Tamandua tetradactyla: one gene and its partner. The protein of the gene in region 2 purifies or fractionates together with the protein of the main gene of each other region. This does not show direct contact. Links are inferred from orthologs where the notes say so. Each region holds a gene or a part of one and is shown on either strand. Other genes may lie near its edges.

Evidence for each region. Proteins that work in one complex are often made in the same cells at the same time.
Region 1: the proteins of IGF1R (region 2) and ARRB2 purify together in Homo sapiens (affinity purification with western blotting; 4 studies listed by BioGRID). This does not show direct contact. The link is inferred for Tamandua tetradactyla from reciprocal best matches to the Homo sapiens genes IGF1R and ARRB2.

Annotation. Positions count from the first base shown.
Region 1 is NC_135332.1:60,671,225-60,679,146, forward strand, and holds the start of ARRB2 (beta-arrestin-2), read right to left. Parts: upstream 5,259-7,922; 5' UTR 5,248-5,258; coding exon of another isoform or gene 5,225-5,247; intron 4,988-5,224; 5' UTR 4,986-4,987; coding exon 4,933-4,985; intron 2,330-4,932; coding exon 2,299-2,329; intron 1,665-2,298; coding exon 1,604-1,664; intron 1,492-1,603; coding exon 1,447-1,491; intron 1,226-1,446; coding exon 1,029-1,225; intron 740-1,028; coding exon 680-739; intron 475-679; exon of another isoform or gene 288-474; coding exon 220-287; intron 75-219; coding exon 1-74. UniProt on the Homo sapiens protein: Functions in regulating agonist-mediated G-protein coupled receptor (GPCR) signaling by mediating both receptor desensitization and resensitization processes.
Region 2 is NC_135338.1:85,577,120-85,585,041, forward strand, and holds the start of IGF1R (insulin-like growth factor 1 receptor), read left to right. Parts: upstream 1-3,463; 5' UTR 3,464-3,661; coding exon 3,662-3,755; intron 3,756-7,922. UniProt on the Homo sapiens protein: Receptor tyrosine kinase which mediates actions of insulin-like growth factor 1 (IGF1). Binds IGF1 with high affinity and IGF2 and insulin (INS) with a lower affinity. The activated IGF1R is involved in cell growth and survival control.

The DNA.
Region 1 (7,922 bases), on a different chromosome or scaffold from region 2:
TTTCAGCTGAAGGCTGGGGACCGGGTTTCTCTGGGGCAAACTGCACCTTTCGGATCACCAGTCGCACAGAGTTCCTGAGGGGATGAGGGGAGTGGGTGGGGGATGGGAGTGGTCAGTTTCCAGACCCCCAAATACCTGCCCCCACAGGGGCCTGAGGCTCACGGAAGTGGGAGGGAATGGTTACTTCACAGAGATCACAGAGGGGATTGCTTCCCTCACCTTTTGTGGCTTTTTTCTTCTAGTGATTTGGCACAGAAGGCTCGAATCTCAAAGTCTACCCCACAGGCCTTGGGAAAGGGAGAAAGAACCACATTACACAAGGCCCGCTGGCCACCACCAACACCCCTTCCTTCCTCTCTCGCCTGGGGCAGGAACTCTTGCCCCATCATGGTCTGGGGAGGTAGGAAGTGAGTCTTCTTCCTCTGCCTCCCCAAGGCCTGGAACCTAGCAGAGGCTTGTTCCTGGCAGTGCAAGGTGAGCCTGTTTCCAGGTACATGCAGATCAAGAAAGCAGGGGGCAGTGTCACAGGTGGGCAGTGACTGTACCATACACCCAACCTGCACTCAGGATACTTCCCTACTCCTGGTTTCCCCATGGGCCACCTCCCTCTCAGGTGTGCTCCCAGGCTCCTGCCGAGCTATGCCCTGCCCTACTACCCCCAAAGCTGTTCCTCTCTCACCTTTCCTGTGTCCTCAGGTCCTGGCTGCAGTGTGACGGAGCAAGGCAGATTCTGGGGTATCTGTGGCAGAGGGAAGGGGAGGCTTCAGTCCTTCCAGAAAGTCCCCAAATCTTCCTCCCAATCTCAATTCAAGAGGCTGGATAAAGGCCTCCTGGAGATAAGAGAGGAAGAAGGAAGGGGACCCAGGGAGGAGGCAACAAGGCAAGGGCTTTCTGAGTACAGGGACCTTGAAGGGAGGTGGACCTGGGGTCCCTGCCTCACTGTTCATCCAGAACTGCCCATGACAGGTGCCCCACCCTCCAAACAAGTCCCAGATCGCTTGCCCTGCAGAAAGTGGGGGTATCCTCACTGTGAAAAAAAAGGGGTGAGCATGCTGTCCCAGCTTCCTCAGCAGCCGCTCCTGCAGGCGGGTAGGGGGCCGGGGTGGGTTGGGCATCGGGGGGAAGGCCTGGTAGGTGGCGATGAACAGGTCTTTGCGGAAGGACAAGCCCAGCACATCCAGGTCTTCACGGCCATAGCGGAAGGCGCAGGTGAGGGTCACAAACACTGGTAAGGGAGGGCAAGGTGGGGTGGTCAGGAGCCTCCTTCCCCAGTTCCCCTTGGACCTAGCAGCAGCTGCTCCTTCCTCAAAGCATAACCTCTGCCTGAATCCTACTCCTCACTCCCACCTCAGCCCTCCATCTCTCTGGGGCACCCTCTCAAGGCCAGCCCATCTCACCTCCCCGCCTTCCTACCTCCCTTTGGGCCCTCGGACTTGGGGTCAGTACCTTTACGGTCCTTCAGGTAGTCAGGGTCCACCAGCACCACGCCATCTAAGGAAGTGACACATGGGTTCATTTCTTGTCAGGGCCTCTCCCCCATTTCTGGGCCCAGGAACTTCATCCCTTCCTGGGGAAGGAGCTGTCACTTTCTGGGAAAACTTACCTACAGGATCCACTTTGTCCAGGTGATCTACAAAGTCCCGTTTGCCCAAGTACACGGTGAGCTAAAGGTGTAGAGGGGTCATAGGGGAGGTTGGGTAGGAGGGTGACGGGGTCTCAGAATCCTCAAGTGACTGCCCTGACCTGGGTCTTCCCTGGCTCGGATATTAGGAAGGAATTTCTCCTCTTTAACTCCCAGCGGCGCTGGAAGGGCTGGGTGGTGAGGTTTCCTAGACTGCCCATTCTTTAGGCTTTTCAGCTGTTCCCTATCCTCTTTTCAATCCTCTGCTCACCAGTCAGGTGTGTGTTTGGGTCCTTGGGGAGGCCTCAGCCCTAAGGAGCAGCTATGGGCCTCAATCACTCCCCTCAAGGGGCTCTGAGATAAACAGACCATAGCCTGGGAGCTGTTAACTTTTCCCAGCCCCAGGTATCGGGGTTGGCTCCTAAGAGGGCTGCAGGCACGGGGCTTCTGGGCCCATCCCCTTTGGCCTTGCTTAGAGACTCAGGCCTCTCCCCACCCACCCCTGCAGCAAGCTCAGGCTGAGCAGCCTCTGTGGCAAGGGGCTTCAGGAGGGAAGGAAGTTGGCTCTTAGCTGTCACAGGAAGTGGGGAGCTAGGGGTTGGGGACCATCTAGGGGCAGGCTGGGCTTTGTTAGGGCCTGGGGAGTGTTAAGGGGATAAACGCTGTGGGAGACTCACCTTGCAGTTAGGGCTCGACTTCTTGAAGACCCTAACAAAACAGAAAGGGAAACCCCACTGCCTCCCTTAGACTCAGCAGGGACCCCTGCCCACACCAGGACCTCAAACCTCCCCAGCCAGAAGCAGCTCTTACCCAGGATTCCTGTCTGGATGCTTTGAGGCTTTGCCCAGTCCTTCCCCCTCCCACTTCTTCCCAGAAGGAAAGGCAACCAGAGCTTCTTAATATTTCTAACACAGCAGCCACTTGCAGCTGGTTGTCATGGCAAATCCCCCTTTTATCCTTGGCCCACCCTCACTAGCCTCCCTCCCCTAATGGTAATGGCTTCTGGTTGCCACAGGAACTACCCCAGAGGACCTAAAGAGGAGACCTGGATGGGCAGGTAGCAGCAGTGTCTGTGTATGGCCTAACCATCTTCCATCTGCTCTGGTCCATGCCTGCTTAGCGAAGGGACAGAGGTCCCAACCTCAGAGACAGCTGGAGTACTTGGAAGATCAATGGCTTTAGCTTTCACCCCTAAAATGGTTTCTATCACAGGAACTACCCAAGTCTGACCAACTCCAATAACCTCCAGCGATCCCCATCTCTGATCTCAACACCTTAAAAGCCAATTCATCTTTCAAGATCCAGCTCAGATGCCAATTTTGGGAAGGAGACCCAGCCCAGACCCCAGATCACTTCTTTTGGGGTTTCTGTTATACCTTGTTTATGTCTGAACTGTGGAGTGATGGCACACCAACGGTAGCCAGCTGTGTCATCCGACTATCTCCTTAGACAGACTGTGCTCATCAAGGCCTTACTCAGTGTACCCCCGCCCCCGCCCCCCACACAATGTGGTGAAGATGGTGCTACCAGATGATACCCATGGGGTGACTGCTCCATGCTTGTACTGTTCGAGGGTTTCATGTGTGTTATCTCATTTAATACCCTTAACAAGCCAGTGAGGGAGGTCCCAATATCCCCGTTTTACAGGTGAGGAACCCGAGACATAGGCCTAGTGTTTTTTTTGTCTAAGGTGTCTCAGAGTGTAAATGGTGGAACTCAGATACAAACAGAGATAGTCTGGCTGTGAGTCGATGCTCTTAATCAAACTACTGTACTCTCCTGCTTCTGTAAGTGGTAGCAACAGTTTGTTGGATTGGAGGAGATTTGCTTTCCTGTTGCTGAAGCAATCTGAGCCTTGACTCCATCCCCTGCTGGGAAGGTAGGGAAGTGTCTAGGGACTCCAGTGCTCTGGTCACTTGTGGGCCTGTTCTTTGCTGCACCACCTTACTCCTCCCAATCCACTCACCTTTACCAGTGATCCCTGGAAAGAGCCTCCAGAGAGTAGAAACTGAAATCCTGCCAGTTGGCCCATCCCTTTCCATTCCCACTGCCCCAATTTCTGTTGTAACATCATTTGCCCCTTCTTCCCCAGAAGGCCAAGCTGTCCCAAGGCCATAAGGTAAAGGGTACAGATGCCTCCTGGTACCCTTAATCAATCAAGGAGAATAAAGCATCCCACTTCTTGCCCCGACTTGGGAACTGATTGCAATGGTATCATCTAGGCTTTCCCACCTCTTTGACCTCAGTTACCTCTGAGTTCCCTCTTTGTCTCAATGTTTCCTCCTATTAGGAACCCTGGCAGAGGGTTGTAACAGCCACAGTCAATTGGCCAAGTGAAGTGTGGCTCTGGGGCAATTGCCATTTGGATCTTAATCCAGCTACCTCCTGCCATGCTAGGTAGAAACCATGTGTGTAAACTGAGGTTAGCCAAGGAGGTGGGGTGAGGGGGTGACCAGGGAGGTGCTCAGTGAGGGTGGGGGTGGGGCAAGAGATGCCCCCTCACACTTCCTGCCATTCTCTCCACTTCGTGTGGCCTAGAATTTGATGGGGGTGGGGGAAACTGCCAAGTCAGCAGTCCTACTTTAGTCCATCTATCCCCCTCCCTGAACTACACAACGGAAATTGGGGGCCTCCTTCAAGTCAGGGACTTCCGCTTTCTCTGGGGTGTCCTCCAGTCCTCCCTCTCCAATACTGGGCGACTTGGCGCTTAGAAACTGGGGTTCTCATACTCCCTGGGTGGGGCGTGCTGGGGCTGATATAACATTTTGCAGAAGTGATAGCTCAGGACCAGGTCCTGATCCCCTCTGAGTTGAGGCATAAGGTTGCAACCTTTTACTCTTTGCTCCTGCTTCCCAGGGACTAAGCATCTACCCCTTTCCCCCTTAGGGGTGTTGGGTCACAACAGGAAGTGCATTTTGCTAGAAGCCAAAAAAGAGAACTCGGGGTGTCAGTGGAAGGAAGGAGCCTCGATTGCACCGAAAACATCCGGGGAGTAGATGTTATGCCCAGGGCAGATACTACCCTCTCCCACCCCCGCCCGATACCCAGAGTGTGGGAGGAGTTGGGCCCAGAATCGGGGAGGGTCGCCATGAACTCTCTTTCCCCAAGATGAAGGTGTTACTGTTAGCAACCTGGGGGAAGGCAGAAGTTTGGAAGCGGAGCGACCCAGTCCTCGGGACAGATGGGGGCAGTACAACTGCTTATGGGATACTGGACGGGAGGCTTTCCACTGGCTCGACATTAGTTTTGGGGCTTCCTATCCCGACGTCCAGCCACTCCATACACATCCCTTTGGGGCCACCTGCTCTTACCCCGCCCTTGCATCGCAGCCTGCACGGAGAACCCAGGCGTCCGGCCCCCACATCCCTACAAGAACCCAGACGCCGGTTTCCTGGTCCCCTTCAGCCCTCGCTTCCTAAAGGGGCCCGGGCATGCGCCCCCATTATCCGCGAGGACCTAGGTGTGCGGCCCTGGATGGCTGCCCCCTAGGGACCCAGGAGTCCGGCCCCCCGGATTCTCTCCCCTGTGTCCTTGTCTGGGGACCATCCCAGCACCAGCCGCGAGCCGCCGCCCATGCCCTGCGGCGTGGCCCCACCTCCCTACCTGGTCCCGGGTTTCTCCCCCATGGTGCGCGCGCCCGCCGTCAGACGCCCCGCCGGGTTCGCCGCTCGCTCGCAGCCTCTTCGCCCGCAGCCAGGTCCCTACTCCTCCCCGCGCCAGTGCGCACGCGCGTCCTCCGCTCTTTCTCCTCTCCCTCCTCCCGGTCCGCCCTCCCCGCCCCCGCCCTCGGATCCTGGGGAACCGGGGCCAGATGCGTCAACCCGGATCGCGCGCGCCGCGGCGCTGCCCGCCCTTCCCTCCCAAACACGCGGTGATTGGCTCCGCCCTCACCCTCTCCGCCCTCACCCTCTCCGCCCTCCAGCCCCGCGAAGAAGCTCTCCCGGCGTGCGCGGTTCCTACCGCGGCTCTTCCTGCCCATTTCCCCGCCCCGCTACATTCCCTTAGAAGCTAATTGGGTTCTCTTAATCAAAGGTTCCCGCCTTCCAGGAGAATGGAGGACTCTGATTGGCTTCCGGCATGCAGGACCTTGCAGGGGTCACCTCCCCTTTGTTTGCTTTCTCTGTGGCGGTGGAGGCGTTGGGGGCGTTGGGGGCGGTGGGGGCGGTGGGATGAGCCTAAGCACATTCTGGGAAGGAGGATGAGGGGGATTCACACGTGGGTGAGCGATTGCAGTTGCGTGATATTTCCTTTTCTGCGCGCTGCTCACCGGCTCACCCCAGAGTGAGCAGCCTTATTCGGCCCTTCATCCTGCTTTATTGTGGTGCCTCAGCTCCCCCTGGTGTCTATCTTTGCTCTTCGCAGAATTCTTTTTCCTAATTTCTCCTCCATCCACCCTGGATCCACCCTCCTTTCCATCCATCCTATTTTGTGCCAGTCCTTACGCTAGGCGATAGGGACACAGACGTGAATTAATGAATTAACATGGTCCCTGCCTTCCGAAGGGTCGAGGGAGACATAAATAGGTATTAAGAGACCAAGAATACTATAATAGAGGTATGACTCAGAAGACAAAGTGTTCTTGGGAGGGGTTGAGTGGGCTGTCCAGAGGAGGGGACATTTGAGGACAATCTTGAAGGATGGGCAGAAGCTGGGAAAAGGTATTCCAAAAGGAAGGGGGGAGGACAAAAGATACTTCCTGTTTTGAAGTGTTTGTGGGGTAGAGGGCAGGAGAGATGGGGTTGGAGAGGAGCACGGGAACAGGCTGTGGAGGATTTTGTATAGCCAGCAAAGGAATGAGGCTAAAGCTGTTCTTTCAGGACACCAGTGGTGGCTTTTTTCTTTTCTTTTTTTTAACTTTTATTGAGAAAACCAAACAACATACAAACACGAACATTCTTAACATATAAACATTCCATACTTGGTGTGCAATCAATGGCTCACAATATCATCACAGTTGTATATTCATCACCATGATCATTTCTTAGAACAATTTAATGAGTTGCGGCTTTTTAAAGCAAGGGTATGGCATGATGAAATTTCTTTAGGAAGACAGATCTGGGCAATGTGGAAGGTGGAGGTAATGGGGCAAGACTGGGACAAGGTAAAGGAGTTTAGCTGTATGTAAATTAGTCAAGGGAGATGATGAAGTCTTACAATGGGAGGGGAGAAGAGGGACCAGACTGAAGAGTCATTTCTGGGGTAAAATTGACTGGACTTGGACTTGGGAAAGGATGATGGATGACTGGAATTTCTGGACTTATGTAGGGAAGGTATTTCTCCTTCTTCTATCTCTTGTCTTATACTCCCCTGTACACCTAAACAAACTACTTCCACACGTCTCCCTCTTCTTCTCCATGCAACCAAAAAAGTAATGTGTGTGACCCGACAATTTCTGATCTTTAAAGTTCAAACACAGGCTTTGCCACCAATATTTCCCTCCACCACCCATCACCCAATTTCCTCACCACCTTCTAAGCTTGTTCTTCATCCCTGTTTTAGTTTCCTATACTGCTCAAGCAAATACCATGAAATGAGTTGGCTTACAATGGGAATTTATTAGCTTACAGTTTGAGGCCACCAAAATGTCCAAATCAAGGTATCATCAAGGAAATGCTTTCTTTGCGAAGACTGGCTGCAGAGATCCTTGGCTTCTCTGCCACATGGCAAGGCACATGGTAGTTCTACTGGTCTTTCCCTTCTCTTCCTAGTTTTGTTGATGTCAATTTCTTACTTCTGTGGCTTTCTCTATCTTGGTCTGCATTTCATTCTTATATAAAAGACTACAGCAATAGGATTAAGATCCATCCTGAATGAGGTGGGTCACACCTTAACTGAAGTAACCTCATCAAAAAGTCTTACTTACAGTGGGTTTACATCCACAGGAATGGATTAAATTTAAGAATATATTTTTCTGGAATACATTAGGCTTCAAACCACCACAACCTCTTTCAAGCTTTATGCTTTTTTGGCTTGTGGATGAATTTGATCTAAATTTGACTTTGGACAAAAGGTTATGGACAAAGGGTTTATGAGATCTGTATTGCTACATATCTGAAGTACCACTGGTACAGAAAGGCAGTGGTGCGCTTGACATGAAAGCTACCATATTAAAAGATAGTAATGTATCCCCCTCTCTACGTGGGACATACATCCCAGGGGTGTAAACCTTCCTGGCAACGTGGGACAGAAATCCTAGAATGAGCTGCTACTCAGCACCAAGGGATTGAGAAAACCTTCTAGACCAAAAGGGGGAAGAGAGAAATAAGACAAAATAAAGTGTCAATGGCTGAGAGATTTCAAA
Region 2 (7,922 bases):
TTAATTTTACTGATTCCCCACTACTTCAAGAAAAAACACATTTTAAAAATGTACAAATGAAAAATGATTTTGGCAAAAACAAAACAATGCTACAATTTTATCTATCTATGAATTTCACCTTATCTATATACCTTTTTATGCTCTTGGGGACAATCTCAATGTGTATTTTTACTTCAAATATAAAAAAATGTATTATGGTAGGATTTAAAGCTTTTCTATTACAATTAGCATTTGAAAATCAGCCCTACACTTCTGTTTTAATTTAGGGGTACATATTAAAATTATTTTGAATACCAAATAAAATGAAAATAAACTATTGATATTGCTTTACTTAACTGCAAAGTCTATTTGTTAAGTATCAAGACCAACTTCATTCAGGGAACTCTCTAAAGAGATATTTAGAAATTAGTAGAATGAATTTTAATTATTCATGTGTAATGCCTACTTTTTAAACAATGCATGCTAAATTTAAGTTTCTTTTTATGATTCTAATATATTTCTTTTATTGTTAATGTCCAAGAACATCTTAAACTGGAACATTTTACTTAAAAATTAAGCTGAACTTCAGTTAAACAAAACATCATGTGACTAACTCTCCTAAGTAAAAAAAAAAGTTTATTTTCCTTTTATAAAACTGACTCGCTGAATTAAACTAAAAAATAAATATGGGAAATACATAGGGAATAAATACAGGAATAAAAGGACTAAGTTTCTGTTAGGATAGCTTCTGACTAATTTTCAGCTCTTAATAATTTCAGCTCCTTAATAATTATTTACCAATGACAGGATGCTTAACGGAATATTTTACAATTAGAGAATAATAGAAGAAATCTACCTTTCCTTCAAGAACAAGTCTCTCTACCAAACAGCTTGATTGTTTGAGACAAAACATCCAGACATTCACAACTCTTATTAGCCATCTTCTTTTTATTTATTACTGACATCAAATAGCCTGAGTCACGAACGAACCACATTTACAGGCGACACGTGGCCCAATCGCTATTTTTAAAAGTCCACGTATTTCCAACTCCTTTCTTGCCAACTGCTTCCCACTTTGAGGACCTGGTCTCTGCAGCATTTATTCATCAGACGGGAGTCCTGAGGCAGACCCGCCTCGGGGAAACCTCTCCTCGGCACATTTAAGGAAACCACAGAGGAGACTTGGGATTGGTGCTGGTATCTGGTCACTTACGTAGCACACGAAGCAAGAGGGACGTGCCCGGGAGGACCCGAGGCAGGTGCGGGTAGGTTTCCGCAGTGGCCACTGATCCCGGGTGTGTGCGGCGCGTTCATCGAGCTCCACCCGAGCCAAGAGACGCGTCCGGTCCCGGGCCGGGCCCCCCGTGCCTCCAACCTCGGGGAGGGGGAGGTCCTCGGGCACGCCCCCTAGTCTCGGGGTCCCCGCGACCCAGCACCGCGCGCGCACCCCGGCCGCTCCCCGCAGCCGCCCACGTGGTGGAGCCCTGAGCAGCTCCAGGCCGTGGGCAGCGCGCGGGGCTGGGAGGCCCGGCCCCAATGTCCCAGCCGGCCGGCCCCAGGCGGGCCCCAAGCCCGGGCCCCCACATTTCCTCCCCCGGAGGGAAGGAGGCGACACTCTGCGGGCCAGCCCTCCCCAGCGCCCCCTGGCGGCCGCCGCGGCGATGCGCACTAGGCTCGCGGGGCCGCCAGTCTGGGCCCCTCCTTCCCAGACTCGCGGCGGGCGGTGGGCGGCTGGCGCCGCTCTCCCCTCGCCCCCCGGGGCCGCGCCCTCCGTCCAGCAGCCCAGGCGAAGCCTGGACCTCGGGGCTCCCCAGCCACGATGTCGCGAAGGCCCACGGAATTGCGTGAATGTGCCCGCCGTAGTGGCCTGGAGGGGTCCCCTTTCTCCCAGGTGTGCCCCCTCCCGCCACGTTCGGGCTTTCCAGCACGCTGCGAAAAAATGCCGCATGCACACACTTATTTATTTATTTTGCAACAGCTGCAAGAAACAATGAAGCTTTTCAAGAACCAGGGAAACGCGCTCTCCAGCCGCGCTGTTGTTTTCAATGAACCTCTCGGGGCCCCGCGATCCCCGCCCACCCCGCCCCCTCCCATCCTCCCCACACCCCTCCACCCAGCCGGGGCCGGGGCCGGCGCCGGGGGCATTGTTTTTGGAATCCTGCGGGAGGGGAGGGCAGGGCGCGTGCGGGCTGGCCGGCGCAGTGCGGGTGGGGGTGAGGGCGTGCGCGCGCGCGCGTGTTTGTGTGTGTGTGAATGTGTGCGCGCGTGTGCCGGCGCGGGCGAGGGGCGGGGACGGCGATTCGCAAACCTCGAGCCCCAACGCCCCGGCTCCGCTCCGCACGTCCCCGGGATCCCGGGCTCCGGCTCTTGGCGCGCGCCGGCCTGGGCCGGGCCCTCCGCGCGCCGCGGCTGCGGCGGTGGCCGCTCTAGGGTGCGCGCGGGCGCGCGGCCCCGGGAGCGCGCGCGCGCGCGAGCCCCCAGTGTGTGGCAGCGGCGGCGGCAGCAGCGCGGCGAGGCTGAGGTTCTTGTTTACCAGCATTAACTCCGCTGAGCGGAAAAAAAAAGAAAGGAAAAAAAAAGAAAAGAAAAAAAAAAAAAGAAGGGGGGGAAAAAAAACCTAACAAAAACAAAAACCCGAGGAGGAGCGGAGGAGCGGAGGAGCGAGCGCACCAGGCGAACTCGAGAGAGGCGAGCGAGCGAGCGGGAGGGAAGCTGCCAGCGAGCCTGCCCCCGGCGCGCCCGCGGCCCGCGCTCGCAGACCCTCTGCCCCGCTCCCGGCCCCCCTCCCGCGCCCTCCACGCCCCTCCCTCGCGAGGGGGAGCGCCCCGGCCGCGCCGCGCGCCTCGGCTTTGACCTTCAGCGAGCGGAGCCCCCCGCGCGGAGCGCCGCGGCGGGCGGGGGCGCGGGCGGGGGCCGGCGCGGCGGGAGTGCAGAGCGCGGCGCGGCCGGCCCGCCGCTTTGTGTGTGTCCTGGATTTAGGAAGGAGCCTGTGGCGGCAGCGGCGGCGCTGAGGGAGGCGGCGGCGGCGGCGAGCGGAGCTCTGAGGAGGAGGAGAGGAGGAGGAGGAGAGGAGGAGGAGGAGAGAAGGAGGAGGAGGAGGAGGGGGCAGCCTCTCATTCATTTCGACTCCTCATTTTTGCCCCTCTCGGGCCTCTCCCGCGACCCGGACTTCGGGGGAAGATTGCGAACTGCGTGGCGCCCTCCCGCCGCGGCGGCTCGGGCGTCGGGAAGCCTCTCCCTGTGTTTGGGGTCGGGTTTGTTTTTCCTCGCCAAGACTGATTTGGGCTCTGCCCCCCCCCCCCCCTTCCTGCAGTTTTTTTTTTTTCTCCCCCCCCCCCCCACTCCTGCCTCTCCGGGTTTGAAAATGGAGGCCGACGATGCTGATAGCCCGCCCCGGCGCTCCTCGGCTTCCCGACTCCGCCGAGCCCTGGGCCGCGGCTGCCGGCGCTGAGGGGTCCCCGAGCCCCGCGCCCGTCCGCGCAGCCCGCGCGAAACTCCCGGCCGGCGCCTCCCTTCGATTATTGTTTCCCTCGCCCTTGTTTTTTGAAAGGGGGGGGGGTGCGAAGACTTGAGTTTGAGACTTGCTTGTTTCTTTTCCTCTCACCACCACCACCACCCCCCTTTTCTTTTCTTTCTTTTTTTTTTTTTTTGAGAAAGGGGAATTTCGTCCCAAATAAAAGGAATGAAGTCTGGCTCCGGAGGAGGGTCCCCGACCTCGCTGTGGGGGCTCCTGTTTCTCTCCGCCGCGCTCTCGCTCTGGCCGACGAGTGGAGAAAGTGAGTATGGGCCCCGCCGCCCGCGGCCACTGCGGGAACTTTTCCTCCGAGGGGCTGCGCCCTGTTGGCGAAACCCGAGTTGCCGCCGTCGCAGCTGTCTGGCCTCGGGCTCGGGAGTGGCCGGGCGGGCTGCGGAGGGCCGAGGGGTCTCGGCCCGGGTGGCCGGAGCGGAGCCTGGGGGTCCCGGCTTCGCGCATCCCGACTCGGGAAGGGCCTCGGGGGCTTTCTCTTTCGCCGTCCGGAGAGCAGGGCCCCGCGACCCCGGCTGGTCCGCGGCGCTCACTTCGGGGCTGCCCGGCCGGGGAAAGTTGGCGGCGAGGCAGGTCTCGTCCCCATCGGTTCGCCCCCCCCGCCCCCCGCCCCCTATGGGGTCCGCCGCCCGTCCCTCGTCGCTCCCCGGCGCGCGGGGCCACCCGCACGCAGCGCTGGTCCCGGCGCGGCGCACAGATGGCGGTGACAGCTACCGCGGCCGCCCGGTGCCCTCGCCGCTGGGGCCAGACGCGGTACCCAGAGGCGGGGAGTCGCCCGGCTCGCGGGGGGCAAGTTGTTCTCGATGGGGAGGTGGCCCGTGGGGAGGTCCCGCAGCTCAAGGACACGTTTCCAAACATCCCGGGGTGGCGCGGCGCGGCCTCCTGTCGCCCAACGTGCTTCACCCCTGGGGAGCTTTTGATTCCACAAATAGTTCCCTGGTCGCGTGAGCTCTTTAGGTTCCTGACCTTTCTTGGCACCCCGCGGCCGGTTACCTGGCGGGAACTATCTGCCCCCGGCGTCCCCGGGTTGCCCTGTGCGCCTCGAGGGTAGCGGAGAGTTCCCGCTGCGCTCCCCGACTCAGCCCCTGGGAAAATGTGGGTTCGGGGCTCCTCATAAGCCAGGCCCTTTGGGGGGGGACGCGCCTGTGCCCCAGTTCAGAGGATTCTGGGACCTACTCCCCGTTTCTCCCCGGCTCTGGCGGCTTTTTTCTCTTCCTCTCGGGGGGGTGGTGGGGAAGACGGGTCGTGGTGGTGGAGGGGACGAGGACCGCGTCCGAGAGCGCGTTAGTGCGTTGTGTGGTCGGAGTCGACGTGTATTTCCACACACGTGCTCGCAACCCCGAGGTGTGGCCGCCGCCACACGGCCGCGCGGGGACACCTAGACGCCTGCCCTGGCAAGAGGTGTCGTGCGCTGTCGTTTAAGGCGCGCCAGGATCCGTGGGGGTGGGGTGGGGTGTTTTGCGAGCGCAGAGCCCAGGCGTCGGTTGTGTTGTGGACAGAGCAGTGCTGCCCCCCCCCCCCCAAACTCGCCCAGCACTGCCTTTGTACGTCGTTAATAAGCAGTATCGCTCCACACTCGCTATCGCTTGCAATCTGATAGCTTTTGTTTGGTGGTGTCGGGTAGGGGTAGAGGAGCGCGCGGAGGGAGGGTGCGAGAACTTCGGCTCCCACCTTGTGTGGAGGGAGGCGAGGGAGGGGGATTTAGTTTAGTTATCTGAAAAAATTCAAGTGTGCTTTACTGGTGAGCTCGGGGTGGTAGGATGGAAAGGTAGTTTGAACACGATTAAAAAGTTGAAATGTAGTCCCAGAACTGGGGCAGGGAACGGTGAGGGCGTTGCTGGTGAGTAATGTTTGCCGAGGGTATGCAGGTGGTGCCAATTAACTTTGAAAAATCACGACTGAGCCTTGAAGAGTGAGGGGGAAAAGCGGGAGGCTGTGGGGGTTGTCTGGCCTCGTCACGGGGCAATTCAGAAAGGCTGTTTCTATAAACAAATGCTTCTTAAAGACGCCTTGTCCATGATGGAATAGGAGAAAAGCTTTACAGAATTAGCATGTTTACCACATTGAGTTGCTGGAAGACGCGGAATGGGCCGGGACCTTCCACAGATTGGGTTCTCCTGTTCTTTGTTTTCCAAACTTTGAGCACACTGAGAAAGGGCTTTCTTTCCCTTCTGCTAAGGAGCTCAGATGGGGTTTGGGGGACAGTGGAGGGTTTCTAGCTTTTAAAAGCTAAATATAGTTTAGAAGACACAGGAGAGCTAATCCATTTTACTGTAGCATGCCACTGAATTCCGTATAGTTCCTCTAGTTTTATTTTTTTTTAATGTTAGTAACTTCTGAAAATTCAAAATAGCGGTGATGGCCTTGATTCTCTGGTGAAAGAGTCGGGCATTTTAAAATAGGATGTGTTGTTTGGAGCGTTGCTGAAAAATATTCTTTGTGAAAGGCGGTTCTTTCTTGAGAAAACTGGAGAGAAAGGAAGAAATATTTTTACTTAATGCATGTTTATACTCCGGTGATACCAAAGCTCTTCTCACAGATCTCTTCAATGTGCTTGGTTCACTAAAGACCGAAGGATGACCAGAAGATACCCCAAATCCCCATTATGGTTTGTCGAAGTTCTGACTCGGTATCTGCCCCTCCCTACTTCTCTGAAGTTTTGAGGATTAGATGCTGTGCTCATGGTGCACGCACATTCAGTTCTTAGTCGGGAAGGTGCTAGGACTGTTAAATCTGATAGAAATAAGCTACCGAATCCTATCAGATACTAGCATTGTTTTGGCTGTTGTCTGTGTTGTCTAGTATAGTCATAAAGAGTTGGGTGTTTTTGGAGCTGGGTTGCAGATATTGTGCTGGCTTATTTAGGGAGTAGCGTCTCATCTTTGAATGTGATGGCAATAGGATGGAGTTTTTGTATTTTTTTTTCCTTAGAAAATTTAGAAGTTTTTGAAGCCGGTGAAGCCATATGGGCATGTTTGTGTGTTTTGTATCAATAGAATGCAGATGGAGCATCTAAATAAGGGAGGTTTGGGGTTTGGAAGTTATGAGTAATAGCCAAATAATCTGATGGCTGTATTTATTTATTTTTAAATCAACATGCACTTTAAACATATTGTGGCCGTTTCATTAAAAGGATTAAAAGGATACAGTCATCTTTCTGCCCCAGCACTGTAATACCCTATTGTCGTAGGTGTGTGAAATGTTGGCGTTCAAAGAAGTTAGTGTTTTACGCCCAGAAGGAAAACCCAGAATAAGAACTTTGGAAAGAACCTAAATAGCAAATTATAGTTTAGACTCTGTAGAGGGAGATAGCAAGTAAACAATATTTTGGGGATTGTTGGGGTATAGATCAGGAATCAGAGTTTAAAAGGTCATATGTTTGATTTGTCAAAAGTATGAGAAATGTCTAACCTTAAGAAATCTGTTAAGGTGGAATGGATGAATCTTGAAAACGTTATGGTACATGAAACAAGTAAGTCGCAAAAGACCACCTATTGTATGATTGCATTAGTATGAAATGTCCAGAATAAGCATATCTTTAGACACAGAAAGGATTTGGTGGTTTCAAGGCCTGAAGGAGAGAATGGTGAGTGACTGCTAATAGATACAAGGTTTCTTTTTGGTGAGATAAAGTGTCCTGGTTAGACCATACTGATGGCTGAGCAGCTCTGGATGTAGTAACATCTATTAAGGATTAAAATTATTAAGGTGCCCCCCCCCTTTTTTTCATTTCTGGAGTTTGTCATGCCCCAGAATTCTAGTAAAACACCAAACTGATAACTGAAGCTATGGCAGCAGGATTCCATACCATAGGAAAAATGAACAAGCAGGAAAAAAGAATCTTGGTTATATGTGGCTGGAGTTAAGGATTGAGGGGTTGGATTTAAAAACACAAATGCTGGTAAAAGTCAGATTTGTTACAGAGAAGTGCTCAATTAAATCGGCTATGGTATAGGTCTTTTCAGGATAGTTTGGGTTTAGGAGCTGAGCCTGGATGGCTGTTTGCATTTCTAGTTTTGTTATGCATGTTTTCCAACAACAGCAACAAAATAAAAATAATGTAGTGTTTTGAGATGGTAAATAATTTCCACTCTTTTTTTGATGTACCATATTCACTACCACTTGTGGTTAAGATTGAGGATGAACTGTAAATTTTAATGCAGTGTGATTTTTTTTCTTATTTACCTCTTAAATAGCTCTAGAATCTGAGCAGGAAAAGGAATCTTTGTAGGATACAGTAGTTATTTCAAGCATACAGTGATTTTTTTTTTTGGAAATTAAAATTACAGAACAAAAATACTTTAAAATATGGCTGCTTTGTTTTTTCAACTGTGGTGCCTTTTTCCAGATTTACCTTGGCCCTTAATAGGAAAAGACATAGAGAATAATTGCTGTTTACATTTGTGTTTGGTTTTTG